Linked DNA regions of Rhinolophus ferrumequinum. The protein of the gene in region 1 interacts with the protein of each later gene in a biochemical or structural test. Links are inferred from orthologs where the notes say so. Each region holds a gene or a part of one and is shown on either strand. Other genes may lie near its edges.

Region 1 (7,365 bases):
TTTCTCCCTATCTTTTATAGCAACCTTAATTCCGTCTTCAGGTCAATAAAATGTACCATGTTCACAGGTTGTGGGGATTAAGATGTGGACATGTTTGGTGGGGGGCATTATTCTGCCTACCGTCACGATTACAACAATTTCCATATCTACGAGCAATAGGTGTTTCTGTTGCTCCACATCCTTGCCAACATTTGCTCTTGACAGATATTGTTTTTTCCCAGTCTGATGGAGTGTCAGAGGATACCACAGTTTTCTATTTTATTTTCCATTTCCTTGATTACTTGTGAGCACTCTCTTTATATGTTTAGAGTTCATTTCCTTCCCCGTGATTTAGCCTTCATGTCCTTTGCCTATTTTCAATTGGAATGTTTGTATTTTCTTATTGATTTGTAGCAGTTCCTTATTTATTCTAGACACAGATTTTTTTTAAATCAATTTTAAAGTTGCAGTCTTAATCTAGATGATTCTTAAAATTTCTTTACTTTATGGTTCATTATTATTTTTATTATTATTATTTGTTACTGAGACGTCTTTCTCTACCCTAAGTTCCTTTAAAACAATCTCCTATATTTTCTCCTAAAAACATTATGATTTTGTTTTTATATTTGTCTTTAATCCATCTCGAATTTACTTTTGTACATGTGAAGAAGGTATCTACTTATATATCATTTGCATGTTTACAAACAAATGTCCCAGATCCATTTATTAAGTAGTCAATTGCTTCCCTTCTGATTTGTAATACCCCTTTCATATATAAGGTGTCCCATGTGTCTGGGTCAGTTTCTGGGTATTTATCATACCTTCACCAATAACACATTTTCTTTACAACTTTATAATAAATCATTGTATCTCATAGGTCAAAATTTTTCACTTTGTACTTCAAATTCTTCTTGGCTCCTTCACATAAATTTTACCATTAGTTTGTCAACTTCCTTGCAAAACTAGATTGAGATTTTTTTTCTTCCACATTGAATGTATATACTAACTTAGGACAATTGACTTCTTTGTGAAACTGAGTCTTCTCACTCAAGGACGTGATATATTTTTCCATATATATATATTATATATATATATATATATATTATATATATATACATATATTACATTTGTCAATAAAGTATGTAATATTGTACTTTGTTTTTTTTTATTAAGTTGATTCCTAAGTATCCCATATTTGTTGTTGCTATTGTAAATGGAAGCCTTGCTTAAGTGTGTATTTTCAATTGTCTGCTGATAGTAAGAAAGCAACGGATTTTTGTATGTTGATCTTTTATCCAGCAAAACTTGCTCAATTCTCTTATTAATAATCTGTCTTTAGAGTCTAAGTTTTTTGTATATGGATAATTAACTCAGAATAATTGATGACAGCTTTTTGTTTCTTTCTGTTCAACTTTATTCCTTATGTTGCCCCCCCCCCTTTTTTTTTTGTCTTACTTTACTGTCTGGGACCTTCAACACTTTGATGAATAGAACCAGTGTCTATGAGTACCCTTTTGTTATCCCTGTTTTAAAGAGTATGTTTCTAAGGATTCACCATTATGTATGTATATGTTTCTATAGATTTTGGTATTTACGCTTTATCAGTTTAAGTTTCTGTTTCCTAGTTTGAACATGAATGAGTGTTGAATTTTATTAAATGACTTTTCTGCATCTGTTGACATGATTATGTGATTTCTCCTTTAAATTGTTAATGTAATAAATTAATAGATCTTCTAACATTTAATCAATCTTGTGGTCTTGGAATAAATTCAACTTGGTTCTGGCGTATTTGTACCCATATGTTGCTGGGTTTGTTTGGCTAATATTTTATTTAGAGCTTTTGCATCTATGTTCTTAAATGAGACTGGCCTGCAATTTCCCTTTCTTGTACTGTCTTTGTCTCATTTTGGTTTCATACTTACTAGACATATAAAAAGATTTTACCACATTCCTGCACACTCTATTCTCAGAAGCAGTCTGGTAAGATGGCATTTATGAGTTACTTGAATCTTTATTTAAACTTGTTTATGAAACCTTCTGGGTGATTCTCTATGTATTTCACTAAGTTGAACGTTAAATTATATAGTTTGTTTCTGTACCTTGTAGCAGTTTTTTTTCTTTTTTCTTTTTGGTATTGAATGATCAGTTATGATCGAAATAGACTTAGTTATGGATCTGTCAATTTCTCCTTATTATTCTGTGAATCTTGGGTATATATTTTTTGAAACTACCTCACTAGATAATTTTGAGATACCTTCCTGGTAAAGTGTTTCTTTTATCATAATTTAATAATTCTCTTTTGTCTTAAAATCTATTTTTAATTGATATTAATATAGTTATGTCAGCTTTTTCTGAATGGCATTTATTCAATATATTCTACCCTCCCCACTTCCTTTACATTTATTGCTTTCAACCTTTCTAGATTCTCATGCTTTACATATGGCTCTTGTAAATGACATATAGCTGGGGATTTTAAAACTATACCTATCTGACAACCTTTGTCTCTTAATTGGAAAGTTTATTTCATTAATATTTATAGTGATTATTGGTATATTTAGATTTATTTTTACTACATTATGTTGTGCTTTTTCATTTATCTTGCTCTATGTTTTTCTTCCCTCCTTCACTGCTTTCTATTGAATACATCAAGTTGTTTTGTTTTTTAATTCCCTCTATTCCTTCTATTTGGATGTTCTATTTCCTTTGGTTTCGGTGGTCACCCCTAAAAAGATAAACATTCTTTAACTAACAAAACAAAATTAATTAATTTCTCTATCATCCTGCTGAACAATGAAAAGATTTTAGTATACGCAACTTAAAGAGTACATTTTGGATTATTTTCTTAGATCTTTTTTCCAGTTCCCTAATATTCTCTTCAGCTTTGCCTCATTTGCCATTTAACCCATTTCTCGAGATTTAAAAAAAAATCAATTATTATTTTTTTAATTCTAGAAATTATATTAGGTTCTTCAAAAAATCCACCTAATCTTTTTCTTTTATCAGGTTTCCAATTCCTTTTGGTAGATCTTAAATAATTTAAACACACTTATTTTCTAGTTTCTAGCTGATATTTTAAAAACTGAAGTTCTTGAGGGAGGAGTGTCTAATCCTTTTGGGTTTCTGCTGATTGTCATTTATGGTGGATTATTTCCTCATATGTTTAAGTATTTTCCTTTGTGAATTTCTTTTTTACACTGGCAAATAGCATACATTTCAATTTGAAACATGTGAAGGCAGGCCCAAAGTCACAAACTTTTAGGGACTCTGTAGAGTTCCAACAAAGAGAGACATGCTTAATTCTCACTTTCTCATGCTAGGGCAGAGTGGGGCGATGCCTACTGAAATCCAATATGTAACTCTCTGAGAGTCCTGCTTTAGGTGAGGGTCTCACTTCTAACTCCCACCCTGGCCTAAGCTTTACTCCCACATGGTCATTAACACTTTGATTGTTATAGAACTGATAACCCTCTCCAGGGGGGCCCTAGCATCAGCTTTTGGCCTTACCATTCTGGTTTAGGTTCCCTCTCTATCTTCTGCTACTGGGTATTTCCCTTTTTTGGGGGTCAGGGGGAGGTGAACTCATTTGTACATTTAAAATTTCTCTTTTTATTATAATTTAAACACAGTTCTAGGTGTTTTGTACAGAAGAGTTTTCAGCTTATATAGATCTCCATATATTGACAGAAGGAATACCTAAATTTACTTTGAAAACATGACCTTTGACTCTAAGCCTAGTGGAATAATATAATTTTCACATAATATTAAGGTTATTAAAAACATACCTAAAATCAGTTTGTTCCTTTCCTGCATCTCTTTCTCATGTTAGGTTTACCAGCTTTGCTGTGCTGTCATTTAAAAATGTATGTTTATAAAAGTGTACTTGCAACTCCAGAAGGATTCAAGATGGAATAACTTGGAATGGACTTGGCTTGTAGAGCCACAGAAATTCTTTCTAAGTTGGTTTATCTTGGAATCAGAGAGTAAGTTTCACAGCTTAGACCTGTAAAACTGCTTCCAAAGAAGTGAAAAAAGTTTTCTGTACATAACGGGTTGTGAAATAATAAAAACGCACACAAAACGCTGAAATGACGATCTTGCTTTCACACCTCTATGCCTGCTGAATTATTTCTCCCCTAACCTCGCTCCTTACCCCTCCCCCCTTCATCCCTCAGTGCTACCAATTCAAGTTATAACAGCTACTCCTCAGGGGCACCGTTTTAGCCCATTTTCCCTCTCTTTCCCCTTTGACCCTCCTCCAATTAATTTGCCTGCAGTGTAAACCTTTGTGGTTTACTATTGTGTAACCTCCCTGTCTCTCTCGCCCTCCCACCCAGCCCCCTCCCCCGCTAAATTCAGGGGAACTCCCGTTACTGCAGTGCCACCGGCATTACTCATTCATCCCCATTCTGGCTTTCCCAGCGTTTATTAAGGGCTCTGGGCTCCTGCCTCTCTCACTCTCACTCTCCTCTGCTCAAACTCAGCTCACTGGAGAGGCTCTCGCTTGGTCCCCGCCTGCCAGCGGTGGGAAGTCACGGAAGAACTTTGTCTCTCTCCAGCAATGTATCTCTCTGCGATTCTATTTTGTGTTCTCTGGTCTGCAGTGCGCGCCGAGAACTCCGATGATTATGAGCTCATGTATGTGAACTTGGACAACGAAATAGACAATGGACTCCATCCCACTGAGGACCGTAAGTTCCTTTTAACTGTTTCTCTGCTAAGCCTAACTACACACCCACCTCTTTGGGTCTAAAATTTATACATATAGTTTGGAGCCAATGAAACGAGATAAAAATTATAGTTTGTTTTGCAAAAGAGAGAAGCACTTTAGGAAAGGGGGAGGTTTCAGAAAGTTCTTTCTGTCCCAGATATATAATGGGTTGAACCGTATGAAATTGCCGAAATTTGCCGTTTTGAGCTACATGAACGGTAATTTCACAGAGTTCAAATTAATATATACCTACACGAATGGTTTCTGTCATTCTCGAGATATTTACACGCTGTTTTTTTCGGAGGTGTCCTTACAGGAAAGGGGAGTGCTGGGTCGGGCCGTAACCTGGGACCACCGAGGGAGGTCATCTTTTTACAAAGCACATCCAAGGCAGGCCTGGGCGGGTTGGTAATGCCTGTGTGTCTCCCGCGCTCTAGCCACGCCGTGCGACTGCCGTTCGGAGCACTCCGAGTGGGACAAGCTCTTCATCATGCTGGAGGACTCGCAGATGAGGGAGGGCATGCTGCTGCAGGCCACCGACGACATCCTGCGGGGCGAGTTGCGAAGGCTGCGGGAGGAGCTGGGCCGGCTGACCCACAGCCCGCAGAGGCCGTGCGCACCCGCGGCCCCCGCGGAAGCCAGGCTCGCCCGGGTGCTGGCTGAGCTGCTGCAGGAGAGCCGCGACGCGAGCCGCAGGCTGGCGCTCCTTGAGGGGGCTAAAGCGCAGCGCCCGGAGGAGGCGGGGCGCGCCCTGGGCGCCGTGCTCGAAGAGCTGCGGCAAACGAGAGCGGACCTCCGCGCCGTGCAAGGATGGGCGGCCCGGCGCTGGCTGCCGGCAGGTAAGGACGCAGGCCTAGTAGGGACAGCCCTGCGGCTTTGTTCTAGGAGCGCGCGTTACTGGAAGTCAAATCAGGCCGCCGTCCAGAGGAAGCTTTAATGGGAGAAACACACACACACACACACACACACACACACACACACACACACACACACACGCCTCTATCTCTTCCTGCACGGTCACAGAGTCAGACACACCACGCAAGGCGGTGAAATTGGCTTAAAAAAGTATTCTCCAGTCCCACGGAACCCCCAAGATAGCTGAGGACAGGACGGTCATAGTCTTGAAATAGGCAAGGGCCCCTGACACCTGATACGACCAGGCCTTGCGGGGGCTCTATGGGCCAGTTATAATGGTGACCTCTCTAGCCGTCCAGCTTCCCTCCGTTCGGGATTTCCACTTCTTCTAATTTTAGCCTGCCTCTCTCTTTAGGGGAGCTCTGGTTCTCCGCGCTATTTCAGGGCCCAGCCTAAAGTTCGGGGCCCACCCTGGGCTCGCCTCTCCTCTTTGCGGGTCTGAGCAAGGGACTCGAGGCCGAATCTGATCTCCTGAAGGATTAGTGGAGAGGCCCCAGCCTCCGGAGTCTGTGGAATTAGCTGGTGACTAGAGATCCCAGAGTGCGCGCTTTGGAATAAACCAGCCCCCGAGGGATCCAAAGTGTAACAGTCAGTGTAGGAGCCAATGGTACCCCGGCCCCACCCCAGGGATTTGGAGGATCAGGACCAAACGAGAGAGGTGGTTCAAACCAGATGCAACTTGTCAGAGTCCCATGGGATATTCCATGAATCTCCAATTCATGTGGGTCCGAAATAATACATTTTAAAGATGGTTAAAAAAATAAAGATATTTGGAGCCAAGTAACACTCCTTTGTAAGTCAAAATTTCTAAGAAACAGTGATGTAACAGTCATTTGTGGGTTATATTAGAAAATCTGTGTCCTAGGTAAGAAAATATAATTTGCACTTTTCCTGAGAGTCTCAGAAACCAAAAACAATTGCAGTACTATCCTTCCCTCTATTTCCAGTAAAACAACTCTTATTGGGTGGAGTATGAGGAAGACTCATGAGCATGTGTCAGAGCATATTTCATTTAAAATTATAGAAACCATACTAGACTATTATTAGTCTTTCCTAAAAATTTGAGGACTGTTTATCAGTACAGAGTATATTTTCTTAAATATTAAGTAAGGTTTGGGGGGGGGGAAGAATAAAATCACATATAAGATAAATCCTCAATGTAAGTGACCAGGAGACAAATTATAATTCTGGGGCTATGTTAATGAATGAAATTTCTTGTCTTTTGCAAGCCATATAAAGTCATCGTACATATAATGTACCAGAAAAACAAGAATTACTTTAATTTTCATCTTCACCTCTGCATATTAGAACAGAAGAGGGATGTATTTCTAAATTCTAAAATGTTAATTTTTATTATATTCAATAATATAACACATTTACCTACAAGCTTTGATTTTTCCTCTCTTGGTTTTCTGCCAGCTTGGCTCCTAAGGGATTCCTAATTATTCTGTTGTTGGCCTCCTAAGAACCTGGTTTTCATTTTGTTTGGTCTTTGATAACATAATCAGAAAAACCTATTAGTCAAAAGCCATTTCATGAGAGAGTTTCTGACATTTTAAAGAGATACCAAGAGTCTCAATCACTGGTCCCCTAAAGAAATCACAAAAAAAACCTGCCAACATGCAGTTCCACTCCATGAACTCACATGGCCAGTGCCACCTACAGGGGAAACGGGGTCTCAGAGGCAATCAAGGAATGCTTTGGAATGCAGTCCTGACTGCCTGGGCTTATTTAAACAGGAAATCAGTTAATTAGATTGCAGT
Region 2 (7,920 bases), on another chromosome or scaffold:
TTTGATTTTGGAGAATTTTGCAAAAAATATCAAAAGGTATAAAACACTTGATTAAATAGGATCATAGGTCGCTGTGAAGCAATACTTCATTATTTATTTAACCAAAGTGACAATTAAAGACAGCAAAGGCAAATACGAGGAGTTATATAGTTGTGAAAACAAAACAACAAAAAAAAAGAGCTCTCTTAATGGAGAAGAATCCATTTTCTTAAACAAGCAAAGACCTGATAAAGACCTCATGAAGCACAGGAAATTATTCCGATAAACACAGAATCTTTGTTTTCTAGGCAGATTACGTAAAACGTAAAGATAAACCTTTCATAATCTTATCAAGAACAGACCAACAGTCCAAGAAAACTCCATCCTTTTAGCAGAGGAAAGAAAATTCAGTCTCAGTTTTACAAAAGTACATTAATGATATTAAAGCTAATTTTTTTCTCTAACACAATTAAATAGAACATTTTTTTTTACCAAGTAATTTTGACAATACCCTCCAGAGATAGAAAAAACATCACATATACATGATGCATATCCACAGACATATGTAGACAGACAGACAGACACAACAGAGACCCCACAGCTTTCATTCCTAAACTTTAGCCATAAATACAGGACCCACTCACACGGCCAAAGCTTTTTACCAATGTTTGTGGATAAGACTTTCAAGATTTGTATTTGCCTTTGACAAATAATCTTATGTAGGCTGTGGACCGGATTTGGGGCAGGGAGCTTCTTAGCCGTCTGTATTTTGTAAAGCCTCTTTCTCCCCACTCCTTTTTTTATCTTCAGTCTCTGTGGGCAAATCTCTCCTGCGGTGTTTACATTTCAAAGAGATGACAAGATTTACAACTTCAAGGGACAGAGAAAAGATGCAAGTTTCCCCCTAGGAGTCTTAGGGTATATTTCTCTATTATCAGAAGTCTAGGGTGATTGCTATTTGTTTTCCTTTGTATTAGGGCTGGGACTGCATGAGGCCCTCCATCCTTCTCGGTGTCAGTCACCACAATGCCCTCCCCTTTGCTCTCCTCACTTTCCCAGGGATTCTTAGCGTCCTAATCAGGCTTTGTCACAAGAGTTCACACTCTAATCCTGGGCAGCTAGTGCCCCTTCAGCTTTGAAAAATGTCATGTGACGGTCTTCCACTTGACTTGTCATCCTGCTTTCCCACCTTGTCTGCCAGCCAGAAGCCAGCAGAATCATGGACAAATGCTTGTTCTTCTCTAACCGCAGCTCGTCTTCCAACTTTCTAATTGAGCTTCAGCCTCTAGTTGGGTGTCAGTGGCCAGCCAAACTGCCTGCGGTCGAGGCTGACACTGCAGCAGCCATTCGTTTATCTTCTTGGCTGCAGAGCATGATACAATTCCTCAAACAAGCACATTAAAGCAGCTGGCGCTTGGGGAGCATCCTGTACTCACGTGGTGGTCTCCCAGCATCTAATATATGGACCACCCCTCCCCGCACAGAGGTCAGTGGCCACCTCAGAATTTCCGCTGTGGATGCCTCTTTCCCAAAACCCATTTCTTCTGTCTCCTGTCTGGTTTGCCAGTTGTTGATTTGCAAACTGGCCCCTGTACACAGAGGGCAGGTAGAGACAGAAGAAAGAGGTAGACGGCTCCAGATTGGCAGGTGACAGTTCTAATAAGCAAGGGCACTTACTTACAAAGATGGTTTTGGCGTTTGCAAGTCCAGTAGGTCTTCACATCTCCCTGCCACACCTGAAAAGTCCGTAGAGAGGCCCTAACTGGGTTCTGCCATGTCTACTGGCAGCATCCCGATGGTTTCAACAACATGCTGTTCTCGCAAGGCTGTGTCCTTCAAAATAGCTCCCACTGCGGGAACGGTGGGCAGGGCGCACTTCCAAGGACAAGAGGGCAGCCCAGGTCCAGCTCCCCGGGCAACCGACGGTCACATCTTCTCACTCCCTCCCTTGCATTGCAGCACCCAAGTAGCTTTTGATATGATGTAAGTCGAATCAGACATCTAACCTACTGAAACATGGTCATGTACCCAGGCTAATTTTTACAGATGTTTTATTCCTTTTGACCCTTGAGTACATGTCAACATTTAAACAAATGTGAATCCTAAAGTATCGTTCCATATTTGAATTTCCTTTAAATGATGACACACAAGCTGACCTCCTTGGTTATACTGTGTTTCCCCGAAAATAAGACCTAGCTGGACAATCAGCTCTAATGCGTCTTTTGGAGCAAATATTAATATAAGACCCGGCTATATAATATAATATAATATATAATATAATATAATATAATTAATGTAATATAATATAATGTAATATATAATATAATATAATACCGGGTCTTATATTAATTTTAAAGGATGCATTAGAGCTAATTGTCCAGCTAGGTCTTATTTTCAGGGAAACACGGTATTACCTGGGTTATTAGTCATTTGCTTTCAACTAACTACACACCGTAGGCAAGACTTAATTTTTTTCCCCAAGAAATAAAAATTTCTGTCTGATATGTTGCATTACATAATTTGTCAGATATTTTTAGAAGGGTTAACTTACCAAAACAAATGCTAAAATGCAGCTTAGTATCATTACACAAACAGTTGCATTGTGTCCCTATGAGTCCTCGTTAGAGACGAGAAAAAGACCAATTCCAAGAGTTTTCTTTGCTCAGAGCAAAAATGGGTAACAATGTTTGGGAATAATTCACAGTTAGAGTCAGAAAGATTGGTGACCCTAGTGTTGAAATGTCCAACTGTGGAACCAGACAGCCTGGATTCTAATCTTAAGTAAATCACTTAAGTCACTTGCATAAAAATAGAAGGATCATAGTATTTTGTAAGGTGTATGAGGGAACTAAAGTAGGTTATACATTTAATACAGCTCCTGACACGTAAAATGTAATCATTAATCAGCAATTGTTGCTAGATCAGTAGAGCTTGGAAAGTTGAAGCACTTTCGGTCAGAGCCAAACAAGTGACCGCTCACAGATTCTTAATATAGCCCAGGAAAGACTCAGAAATGTGCAGTTATGTCGTGTGCTGTGCCCTGGATGAATGTCTGGGAACCTGGGAAACTGGACATGAGAAAAGGCAGCTGGCATGGCAGAGACAACTAATTTTTTCTGAGGGCTGAAAGGTTTTCTGAATGTCCTCCAACGGCACTGAGGAGGTTGCCAAGGAGATGGTAGTTTTTTTGTGTGTTTTTATTCTTTTTCCTCTAAGAGGGTGAATGATTTGGAGAGTTTGCAATATAGTTTTAGAAAAGCACCTAATAAAATAAATGCAATAAATAGGAATGGAGGCCCTTGTGTGTTTTCATTTCCTCCCAAATAGAATGAAAGAAAATGCACCATTGTCGTTCTTCTATGCAAATTATTAACTTGGATTATGCTAGCAGTGTCCCCTTGGGAAGAAGTAAAGGTACTAGCCTTTTAAGAAGTGGGAAAGGGAACTCTAGAACTCTTAAAAGGCTCCTCTATGTAAGTGAGGAGATATCCTAAAATAAATCGAAAAAGATGACCTTTATCTAGCTTATGCATTGTTTGTCGTGTAATCAAGGAGGAAAGACAAAAATTGCCTATGCTCTAGCTTGATCAGAAGTAGAAGTCAAGTACTGGATTTTTTTTTAATTGACTTAACTTTAAATTTAAATTTAAATAGTATTAAGTTGTTTGTGGCTGCCATTATAAGTATGATTCAGAAGCCATAGCTACCAAGGACCTATCATAAAACAATAACAACAAATGTCATGCAGTGTTTAGTTTCAGGAATATCAAAGGTGCAAAGAACTGTCCCTTTAAAATATGTCCTTAAGGCCACACCAGGGGATTTAGGTGCTGTAGATTTCATAGTATAGACTGACCTTGATTGTTACCTGCCACTTTTAATACTGCACTGTAATCAGGAAAGATCCAAATTTGTTGGATGTTACATATAATTTGAAAGTACCTCCCTAAAAAAGACCACAAACTGAGAACAAAAATTAGGTTGAAAGTAAATGTTTACCTAAAATTAGAGGGAAAAAAAGGAAAATTAAAATTAGAAATGAATTATTATACTCCTAAATCACAAAGTTGAAAAAATTGACAATACCACAAACATTATAAAAACTAGACACTTAACATAATATGTCTATTCATTAACTCTATCATACCTTCAATTTTTTACATTTTTGGTCGAACACTCTTTGGATTATCTCTTCACGTGACACAATTTTCTAATTTTCCTATATATAGGAAGTAGAAAAATAATTCAGTCTTTTCTTTAGCATGTTTGATTTTAAATCTGTTACTTATTATTGAAATATTAGACAAGTCTTTCCAAGTTCACAACTGATGATTTGTGTCCTATAAATTTTCAGGGTTGTTGTCACATTTTGGAAAACCTCTGTCAAGTTTTCCTGATATAATGGACTATAAGATTTCAGGGCATTAAAAGAGTTCATATGCTTCGGCTAATGCTAAATAATTCTTTGTAAATAGTATTGTAAACTAGTTTGCTCTCAATGTCACCACTGTAGGGACCAAGTGCCTAGTCATCGTGAACCTGTTGCTTCCCACACATTTATAACAAGTCTTTAGAAGACTTAATTCCATGATTGCAGGAGAAGCAGGCCTCCCCCAATCAGCCAGCACAGCGTTCTCGGCCAAGTTCACCCACGTCGTCCGGGGCTCAATTGTGAAAGCATTGCCTAAGCTCCAGTTCCATAATGATTTTTTAAAGAGTTGCTATTATTTCATCTCCTGATGTTTCCGCACAATAGACCTGAATGGGGTTTGAGTAATAAGGTTTATGAATCCAGAGGACATCATCACCAGTCACTGCTTTGCCCATTCCAGGAAACTGAACAGGTTCCAGGGAAAACTTGCCTGGGTTTATAAAAGCAAAGCAAGAGCAGGTCACAGTGTTAACACTCGAAAGGGGACACAGGGAGAGCCTGTGAAAACTCGGGCACTGCTGGGGCCTGTGGATGATTTTTTTTTTCTTTCACTTTGTAAACGTTTCTGATGGGCGGAGCATTTAGTCATCTCTTCATTTCCTAAGCTGTGTTTCAACTTCCTTCTGGAGCGAGTCCTTTCCTGCACTAATCACAACTTTTTACAGAGCAGAACCTGACAGTGTGTGAGCCAGTGTCAGTTATTAAATGTACCCCTGACAGATCCCCCAAAATGAGATTTGCAGCAAAAATTCTGTGGCTTATGCTATGGACGGTTTGTGTGGCACAAGGTAAGAGGAAAAAAGAAAAACTTTTTTTTCTGTAACTGTGTTATCAAACATTTGCTAATGTGCTTTCCATTGTGGTAATAAAAATCTGGTCTAGAAAATGTGATTGAATTACTTCCCTGTAGCTTACTGTTTGAGTGACTTTTGACATTATGAAGTTTAAAACATGTAAGCAGCTTATTTGAATGTCGTTTCTGATTATTTGGCACAATTTAATTTAATGTAGAATTCCAGAAAATGTCTTAATAAATATTTTTGAAAACTATAATTTGCATAATCTCTTCCCTTGTAATTGTCATAAAATATAATGTACTTTATTTGCTTAGAATTTTCAACAAAATGCTTTATGTGAAAGTATTAAGAAGTAGGTGACTATAGATAGAACCAGAACATATATTAGACAATAAAAGCCTCCAAATCATATAATGGTTGGACTTATTTTAGATAAAGAATTTAATTCTTCCTAAAGAAATATTCATTTATTATTTAGAGCTGATGTTGCCTTGACCTTAATAGTTTTGTAGACGAGCATTACTTGTATCATTAGAATGAAAATATTATATAAATTTGAAAAAATAATTGAATGTGCAGTCTTTGTAACACCTGAGTTGTCCAACAGGATTTTTTTTTCCCGTGGGTCTATATAAGATACATTCTAGAAGAGCACTCTTTAGGTATAGTGAATGAGTGTGGGAATTTTTTTCTGATATCAGTAAGACAATTTCTAGATTCATAATTAAATTTAATTCTATCACTATTTCTCGATAGATTATTAATCTTGGAGGAAATTTGCTTTCCCAGTTCATGATAGGTAATTATGTGATAGTAGATGGACATTTTTAAACCAAATGAATTACATAGCATTCACATTCTCAAAACTTTTCTCTAACTCAACAAACTTTGAGTGAAATTCTTATTCACGTCAGCCTCTAAGCATTGAGGAATATTAGCAAATAACACAGAACCTCTGTCCTGAGGACTTTTCCATCTAGAAAATAAAGGCACATATCTTTTTTTTTTCAATTGTATCCTTTAGTAATGTATTTGCATTTATTCAAATGTGTTTAATATTTTTTGAACACTAGAGCCTTTTGGTAGTTATGCATTCTAACATACTAGAGCTTGATTTTTAGCTTGTACACCTTCTTTCCAGCCACTTTTTAAACTAAGTACATCATCATTTCCCTGCACATATGAATATGACAGTTAGTGTTCAAAAGTGAAATTATTATTTATTGGCAGAGAGTTCCAGAGCAATGTCAGTGTTACTACATAGTCATTACAAATACCTTTTTCTTTGCATAAGTTTGGTTGTCTTTTCTTTAATAGGACTACTTTTTGCCTTTCAATGTGTACATATTGTTTGCTGAGGTTTTGTGTAGATACCATTTGTCACGGTACGAAGACTTGTTTTATGTCTAGCTCATGTTTAAAACTGAAGGATCATGCCAATTTTCATTAAACCATTTCAGTGATTACAAAGTGGAACTTGAAACATTATATAAAATTGGGTGCTACAAAGTATAAGTGACAAAAATTAAATAAAAGGGGTTTAAACTCCTTTCTCATGTAATTGATTCCAGGGTACTTACTTCACTTGTGTTTTATATTTCGTCGATGTTTCTTTAAATGTGGTGGTTTCTGCAGGTGAATTGAGCCCTATACACTAGGGGTGCCAAAAAAAGGTGTATACATTTTAAGAGATGTTATGTATGTTCAAGCAGTAGTTTGCCGTCCTCAAAAGTGTCTGGACACTGACGGTAACCACTCTGAGCACCTCTTGTCATTACAGAAGTCAAACGTGACTTATATTCATCTTTTATTATTGGTATATATTGAGTATTACAATTTTAATACAGTTTTCTTTTCTTAAAATGTATACATTTTTGGCACCCCCTGTATATTACAATAAGAATGACTTTAAGTCTGGCTCCTTTTTAACAGATAAAGTATAACTTTCATAGTTAAAGCAACACTTAATGATTTTCACAAATGCACACATAATGCACAAGCTGGTAGAGAAAGATGACATGAATTTTCAGTGGATGGAAAATGGCTGTTGTGTTTTTTATTTGCCAAACGGTCCTGAAACTAAATTGGCTTACTGTGAGTTATTATAAGTTTTTATAACTTTTCTGCAACAGTTTTAGTAGGGGAAAGGTCAACATGGATGATGAAGAGGTTAAGAAACAGACTATGCAGTTCTGGAAGAGGTATTGCCAGGTAAAATAGGTCTGATGGATGAAGTGTTACAGAGAGTGCAGGATGCAGAAAACAGCCATAGGAAGACTGCGAGAGGGAGCCCAGTGCCCAAGCAAGCCTTGTTATTTGAAGTTGAGGCATATGCTGGAAATGCATATGCTCCTCTTTTGCCTGCATAAATGTTAACCTCGACCTGAATGGTTTAAGTATTGCCAAAATTATTCTTAGCCAGAAGTAAGTTCCCAAATATAACTGGAGGCCCAGGTTAGTAAAGATTCTTCATTTTGGCTTTGATTGCGATAGCTGGAACCAAAGTCTAAGTTGATCCATTTTTGTTTGCTCAATCCCTGATTGATTCTGCAGCCTGTGCCGATTTCCTCCTTCCCGCTGTGCCTCCCCCTCCTCGCCACACACCCTCCCCCACCTGCCTGGCCTGTGACATTCTGCCAACCAGTCCATTCAACTAATGTGCTCTTCAGCCATTTCTTAACAACTTGTAACCGGTCTCAGAAAACAGTGCCT
Region 3 (7,729 bases), on another chromosome or scaffold:
CCTTTCTCTCCACGCGCGCCCTTCTCTCCTCGGTCTCCTATGGAGAGAGAAGGGTCAGCACAGCCCATGCGGGGAGATGGCACAGCTCATGCCCGAACGCCTGGTCAGCCAGAGAAGGGCTTGTCTTGTCCCCAAACCCCTCCCTCAGCTGGAGTGAGGTCGGGGCAGGGGACAGCTGGTGGGGCACACAGACACCCACGTGTTCCTTCAGGGCCAGGGGTCAGTGCTGGGCCAAGGTCAGGATCCTGTCCTGGCTCCCTCAGGGGCTCTGACACCGACCCAGCCCCAGGTTGAGCCGAGCGTCCGGGGGGCAGGGTCTGGCTCCCTGGAAACGATGCCTGTCACAGCCCAGAAGTGCCCTCTCCTCTCTCTCTCTTGCCAGGTTGTCCTCTCTCCTCTCCATCAGGTTGTTACCTTTGGGCCCTGGCGGTCCTGCCTTCCCAGGGACTCCGGAGGGACCTCGTTCTCCTGCAAATTCCAACACACATCACTGAGTCCAGCTCCCAGTCCCAGGACCCGAATCCCCAGGCTGGGAGTCGCTGCTCCTGGTTATTTTTGTGGCTGTGGCCCCCCAGGTTGGACCCTGCAGAACGAGAGGGAGGGTGCCTGGACCCCATCCTCACAGGGGTCCCGTCGGAGGCCACGACCTGGAGACTAGGAGCTTATCCCAGGGAACTGGGGGCCCGAGTCCCAGCTTTGCCCCACACCGAGAGAACCTGGGGACTTTGCCTAATTTCCATGGCTTCAGTGTCCCCATCGGAAGTCTGTACCTGGAAACTTTCAGCCCCAGAGCTCAGGTGACACTACAGAGGGACATAGAATTAGGGTCTTGCCACGTCCACATAGAGCAGGGGTGGGTCAACACTATTTCTTGCCAAAGCACACACAGAGCTCGATAGGTGATTAAGAGACTGGCTCCCAACTAAGGGAGTGTCAGACCCCCGGGTGGACGCTGGCTCTGAGCAGGGCAAGACCCAAGCTCCCACCTGAGACCGCAGGGCCACTGCCCAACTCTGACATGGCTCTAACAGGGCAAGAGCTCAGGGGCCCCCCCCCTCACCCTGCACATACCTCTCCCTCCTGCGGTGCCCGCCTCTCCCTTGGGCCCTGTGGCCCCGGGCAGCCCCGGGCAGCCCCGGAGAATGGAGAGCTTGTCGGAGCCCTCCAGACCCAGCAGCTTCACCTCTGCAGAGACACAAAGGGCCAGTCAGTGCTGACCTGAGGGCCCTGGACAGCCGGAAACAGGCTGCCCCATCTGAGGGCATCTGCCACCGAGGTGACCTCAGGCCCGGGCTGATGGCGGTCGCCAAATGAGGGGCAGCCTGCAAGTGAGGTTTTCCTGCCTCTGGTGGACACTGGGCGGTGGGAGTGACACATGCAGAGCCCTTGGAGTCCTTCCTTCCCTGAGGAACCCAGCTCCTCAGCGCTGTGTGTCCTCGGGCGAATCACTCAGCCCCTCTGGGCTCTGTCCCCTCGGCTGCCAGTGGGGATAAGACTGAGGCTTGGGGGGGTTAGCCTGGATGATGCACATTTAAAAAACCTTAGTATAAATCATGGTGTTTAGAAAGAACTTCATAAACAGCGGATACTTTTAATAAATAATAACAATAAACATTTATAAGACTTGGGGCATTTGGGTCAACATAGCATTGTCACCCGCAATCCTTGGGCACGTGACCAGGGGCTTCCTCAGCTGAAAGGGGTCTGTGTAGGTCCCTGGAGAGGGGACGCGTTTGATCCTAGGACACAGAGGAAATCCGTCCGGCAGAACCGGGACCAGAGATTCATTTACTTCTCAGAGTTTCAGTGTGTTGACTACAAAACCAAAACACCCGTCTAAGAGACAGCTTAGTGAATACGGAAATACGCCGTGCCCCAGTGGGGCCCCAGCTGGGTCGTCACTTGGTCTGTCTTTGCCTGGTCCTCACTCCTCAGAACCAATGTAGACTTCATTTTCATAATCCTTAATGTTTGCTCATTAGAAAAGAATACTTGGCAATTTTAGACATTTAGAAAATAAGACACATTTAGGGAAGAAAATTATCACCCATGATATTACCAGTGAAGTGGCCCCCATGTGTGTTTCCTTCCTGACTCATTCCGGCTCTTCTCCACTCTACATGGTAGAAACAATTCCTCCCAGTCAGTCCCACCTGGACCAGGCTAGTGACAGCAGGGCACACGAGGCCCCTCATGGTGGCCCCGGGTCCTGGCTCACAGCCACCTCCTCTAGTGGGATTGAGAAGCACCGGGTCCAGAGTCTCCCCAGGCGGGAGGGGGTGGAACCAGGCCTGTGAGACAATGGGCGAGGGACGGAGGTCTCGAGCCCTTCGGGACAATGTCACCCTTGCTCTGTCACCTCAGGAACAGAGTGGGATCTGCTTGTCCCCAGAGCCAGGAAGGTCCCAGACCATAAGTCCCACAGCACTTGGTGGGAGCTTCTGGGCCATTTCTCAGTGCCGGTGATAATGACACAAAATCTACCAGGGCGGCTCTGCCTCCTCACACAGCCTGTGCCGTGGGACTCTCGCTCCTCCGTGGAAAACCTGAGGAGCAACTCCTGCAGACAGTGCTTAAAACACGCTGTCTCAGGAAGAAAAGAATGTTCGAAAAGGCATGGGGACTGGTACACAGTAGGTCGTCCGTGAGTGGAGGCTGTCATTTCTCAGAACTGACCATTTTCAGGTCCTACTCACCTGGCGTCTGACTCACCTGGGCATGTGTCAGCAGTGGAGGCTGAAGTGCACAGGAAGGTGATGGCCAGCACGAGGGGCCCCATGGCCATTGCTGCTCTGCTCGGCTCCATCGTGCTGGTCCTGGCGGCCGAGGAGATCTCTGTCTTATAGGGCTGCAGCCACCCCAACCTCTGGCTCTATTTGTCACCCTGGTGGGGACAGACGTGGGGACGGCCACTTCCTCCCCCAAGCTTGTGGCGTCACCCGAAGGTGGAGATGCCTCAGAGGACAATCTTCCACACCCCACACACTACTGAGTGAGCAGCTGTTTAGTGAGCTTCCTCTGTACTGACCCCAGTTCCCCTTAGCTGGGACACTTTCTTCCCAGCAAGAAGCCGTCCCAAGGTCCAGTGTGGGGAAGGGCCGGCCCGCCTGCCTATTTGTGTCTTTAGAGAAGCCCAAGCCATTCCCCTCCTAACGCAGAGCTGTCGACAACCTTCCCTGAGGACAGGGCTGGCAGGACCCCACTGAGGCTATTTGCATACAATGCGTTCAAGTCTACACAGGTTGAGACGTCCCCTGGGCGTTTAGGGTGGTTAGAGGGGAGAGAGAGGAGAGCATAACGTCTGGGGAGGGGGGGTGGCTTTTGACTGCAATGGATGTGACCTGGGGGAGGACGTCCAGGCCAGGCCAGGACGGCTAGGGGCTGGCCCCGGGACACTGACAGACAAGTGCCAGTCCAGCCAGCACTATAAAGAGGCCAGACGTGAACTAGACTGGGGCAGCTTCAGGCTGGGTGGGGGAGTGGCGGCGGAGGTGGCACTAAATTGCCCTGAGGGCCATTTGACACCCACCCCAGCCAGGGATGGACCAGGCAGACCAGGAGTCTCAATGCCTTTTCCACAGCCCTAGAGAACTGGTACATCCTGAAGGGAGCTCTCTCCTGGGGTTGAGTCCAGTTAGAGACGGAGGCGGCAGGTCTGTGCCCCCAATCCCACCCACCAACAGCCCCCGTCCAGGTGTGACGTTAGAATCCTGACCCCACGTCCGACGAAACCACGTGAGGATCAAGGTTCCATCTGTCCCCTTTCAGAGTCCCTGGGGTCCGTGAGCCGGACACTGTGACGTCCCTATCATAGGGAGGACAAGAAAGGCCCCGTGTCCTCTGAGTTCTTGAGTCCTGCAACCTGAGACTAACAGGAGGAGAACACGTTCACGAACACACTGACTTCCTGCACACACGGGAGACGGGAGCCGCTCAGGGGAAATGGGTAACCACCCTGTGGCTTAGAATTCAGGACTAAAATGCTCTTCCTAGGGGAGGAGGAGACACAGGCCTCTAGGGCGAGGAAGCGTTGTAGGGAAGGGGCCTTGGAAGACGGGTGTGACAGTCTGTCTGCCTGTCGTGGGGACTTCTAGCTCCTGAACCGAGCTTCCCACTGAGTGCAGACAGCTCGGGACACTCAAAATCGCAGTGTTGATATTTTAGCATAAAGGAATCTGTCAGTTGGTGTTTTGAGTGTTGGCGATATTTAAGAGCATTTGGTCCTATTAGAGTGACAACCTAATAAGCTCACTGAAAATGTGAACTTGAGTAATGGAACAAGCTAGTGACGTACTAGAGGTCTTACCGCGCTTCCATTTTCGGAGCAGTTCAGTTCATGCCATGTTTATGTTATTAGATTTCCGAAAATTAGCTTATCCTCAGGAGGCTTTGTTAAAGGTAGACAACTGAAACGCTGCAGCACAAATTTGAGTATATTCATCTTCTAAATGCAATTAAAATGCTTACAGCTGTTAAATTAACTAAGTCACTGAGTGGAACAAGAAGTATTCATCGGTCCCTTGAAGGAAGTTATTAAAATTTTCCTGTTATACATAAAGTTTACAAGTCAAACTTAAATGCTTAAGGAATCATTGGACTTTTGAAGTTATACGTTTAGTAAACTGAACAAATGACATTTAAATTAATTTTAAAAGGTGGTGACACACTGAGTGATCTTCTCCGTGCAAGAAAGGATACAACACTTAGTGAGAAACACGATCGAGGAGAAACAAGCCTGCGTCGCAAGGGTGGGGCACAGCTCAGCTATTGTGCCTTTGAGGGAACCACTTGTTATGGGTGGGGAAACTGAGGCCCAGAGAAGGAAAGAGGCTGCCTGGGGCCACACAGCGTGGGCCGCTGATCTCCCCACAGGCCCCTCCCTTCCTCCCACACCCGCCCTCTGGCTCAGTGCAGGTGCCCGCTTTCCCCCAGGGTGAAGGGTGCAGGAGCTCGGCCTCTGGCCCAGTGTCCCCTTCACTCACAACCGGCAGCTCTAATGGCCCCTACACAGGAAGTAGACATTGCCAAGGGTCCCTCTGGAGCCGAAAGGCCACCCACATAAGTGAAGGGTTGACTCACGGACAATGATCAAAAGTTGAAGTCCTGTCACTGGCTGCCTTACGCTTGGGGTCTGTCCTCACTCCCGAATTTCAGAATTCTGTTCCTGCTGGTACTCCAGAAACATTCCAGGGGCTAGTGCGTGGGGACTAGGCTTCACAAGCAAGGGAGAGAGGGATGTTTAGTGAGCACCTGCTATGTGCCAGAGGCTGGTCTGTGCCCTGTGACACTGTGGGACACAAAGCAGACAGGTCTCTGCCCTCCTGGAACCGGTTCTACTGAGAGAAGACAGAAAATAAACAAATAGACAAACACATACAGAAAAATGGTGTGATCCGATCCCCGAGGAAGCAGTGTGCACTCCAAAGGAAATACAGAGAGTATATTGTCAACGGTTCATCAGAATGCAAGACGTAAAAGCAGAACTCTCTGTGACTTCACACGCAATCGTCCTAACAGGTGAATATGGGTGCTCCCGGCCAGCACCTCTCCTCTGAGCCGCGACCCCGGACCCACACCTCCTCCAGCCTGTGTCTGTCACCTCCCATTCATGACCCCTATCCTGAGGGTCATCTGCAGTCCCGCCAACCGGAGGGGAACAGAACATGGGGGACGCTGCAGAGGCAGCGTGGGCCCTGGCGTTCACATGTCTCTCACCCTTCAGCCCACTTTTGGTCGGCCGTGAACCACCGTGTGACCACCAGGGACACTCAGCCTGGTGAGTGACTGGAAACTGTCTTGCTGAGCATCGAGACAATGGGCTGAGACTATCAGAGAGGGCGTTTGTCAAGGTCACTGCTTGCGTCGTGTGTGTTTTTGCTTTCATGAACTTTCATCCTATTTGTGCGTTTCCTGTAAGCTTGGTGTGTTGCTGACACGCGCTTTTCTCGTCCATGCCGACACGCCCTGTTCCTTCTTCTCAGCTGATTCTCGACACCGACTGTACTTGTTGGATGTGGTTGTGCTTTAGTATTTTGTGCTGCCCCTGCCTTGACTTTTGGTTCAACCTCTTTGTATTCCATTTAGTGGTTGTCAGGAATTTCCTTGTGCATCTTTCAAGGATCACTGTCCCCCTCGAGTGACCACGACAGCACTTCGCATGTCATGGATGAATCTTCCCACAATCCTTCCTACTGTGGGTATAGGTTTTGCTGTTCTATAAACCCCACCTTGAATTTTTATTATTTTTGTCTTAAAGTCAATTGTCTCTTGACAACATTTTTAAATGAAGGAAGGAGTATTTGATACACATTCTCGTACTTCCCATTCTTGCTTCGTTTCTTCCTAAGGGTCTGCCTTTCCGTCTGGCATCATCTCCCATCAGCCAGAAGAACGAACTCCCGGCTTTCTAGGAACGTGGCAACAACCTCTCGCAGCTCTCACTTACCTGAAAGTGTCTTTATGTCACCTCCACTGTGGAATCATAGTTGTGCTAGAATTGTATTCTACATGAGGAATGCTTGTCTCTCTTCACCTTAGAAATGGCGGGTTTCACTGGAGATTCATTCTATTGGTCAAACGGAGACATTCTTGGCTAACGTTTCTTCAAATATTCTTCTGCCCCATTCTTTCTCTCTCTTCTTTGGATGCCCACTGTACCCTTTCGGTCTGCTTGACACCTTCCCTTTGGTAATTACAGCCGGCCTTCCTCACCTGTTTGATAACCTTTGTTTTCCACGCTTCCACTTGGGTACTGGATCAGCATGTTTTCATACTCAACACATTCTCATAGTCACTAATCCTTTTTTGCATTGTCCATTCAATGAATTTTTTTTTATTTCAGATATTGCAATTTTTATTCCTAATATTTGTAGTTGGTTCATATTTAGACTTTCCTTATCTCTTTTGAAATCCCCCATTTCTTCAACTATTACTGTGTTTCCCTGAAAATAAGACCTAACCGGAAAACAAGCCCTCGCATGATTTTTCAGGATGAAATACACTGAACATAAGCCCTAAAGCGTCTTTTGGAACAAACCGTAATATAAGACCCGGTCTTATTTTCAGGGAAACATGGTATATCCATCCATATTATTTAAAATATTTGTCCTACTTATTTGAAGTCCTTGTCTGTGAATTCCAACATCTAAGGCCCTGTTCACTTGTTTCCATTGACCTTTTCCTCTTAATCATGGGTCACACTCCCCTTCTTTTGTGTGTCTAGTAAGTCTTGATTCTGTGCGAGACACTGTGCCCCTGTGCTCTTCCTCAGAAGGGAGCTGAGCTGGTGCTGGCAGGCAGCGGGGGTCATTGTGATCCTGGGGGTCCTGGCTCTGGGCTTCTTCAGGTGGCTCTATTTTGTCTTTAATCCATGGGGTTAAGTTTCGTCCTGGGATACTGTCCTTTTACTTAAGGATCTGGTCTTCTGGGTTTTCAACCAAAAGCCTGAGGTGTCTATCACATCCATGTAAAATGATGGGACTTGAATGCAGACGGCCTCCCTGACATTGGGAAGTGCTGACATGTTCCCTCGGCTGTGACAGCCTTCCAGCGGTTTCCCTCCAGGAAGGTGACTGCCGCTCACCTCACGCACGCTCAGACCAGCCATCATCGGCCAACGGTAATAGAGTCTTGTAAGCAGATTTTAGGGTTTTCCCCATATGGTTCCTGTTCTCAGGATTTTCCACCCCAACCTCCAGCCACTGCAGTGGCCTAGATTTCTGACACTAAG

What was found.
Region 2: the proteins of PTX3 (region 1) and CFH form a complex in vitro, tested with the Homo sapiens proteins (3 studies listed by IntAct, with this or other methods). The link is inferred for Rhinolophus ferrumequinum from reciprocal best matches to the Homo sapiens genes PTX3 and CFH.
Region 3: the proteins of PTX3 (region 1) and FCN2 interact in a biophysical measurement, tested with the Homo sapiens proteins (2 studies listed by IntAct, with this or other methods). The link is inferred for Rhinolophus ferrumequinum from reciprocal best matches to the Homo sapiens genes PTX3 and FCN2.

The regions. Positions count from the first base shown.
Region 1 is NC_046285.1:81,822,035-81,829,399, reverse strand, and holds the start of PTX3 (pentraxin-related protein PTX3), read left to right. Parts: upstream 1-4,361; 5' UTR 4,362-4,537; coding exon 4,538-4,667; intron 4,668-5,124; coding exon 5,125-5,526; intron 5,527-7,365.
Region 2 is NC_046310.1:3,403,706-3,411,625, reverse strand, and holds the start of CFH (complement factor H), read left to right. Parts: upstream 1-4,879; 5' UTR 4,880-5,141; coding exon 5,142-5,199; intron 5,200-7,920. UniProt on the Homo sapiens protein: Glycoprotein that plays an essential role in maintaining a well-balanced immune response by modulating complement activation.
Region 3 is NC_046295.1:81,808,866-81,816,594, reverse strand, and holds the start of FCN2 (ficolin-2), read right to left. Parts: upstream 3,086-7,729; 5' UTR 2,807-3,085; coding exon 2,713-2,806; intron 1,186-2,712; coding exon 1,072-1,185; intron 469-1,071; coding exon 415-468; intron 38-414; coding exon 2-37; intron 1-1.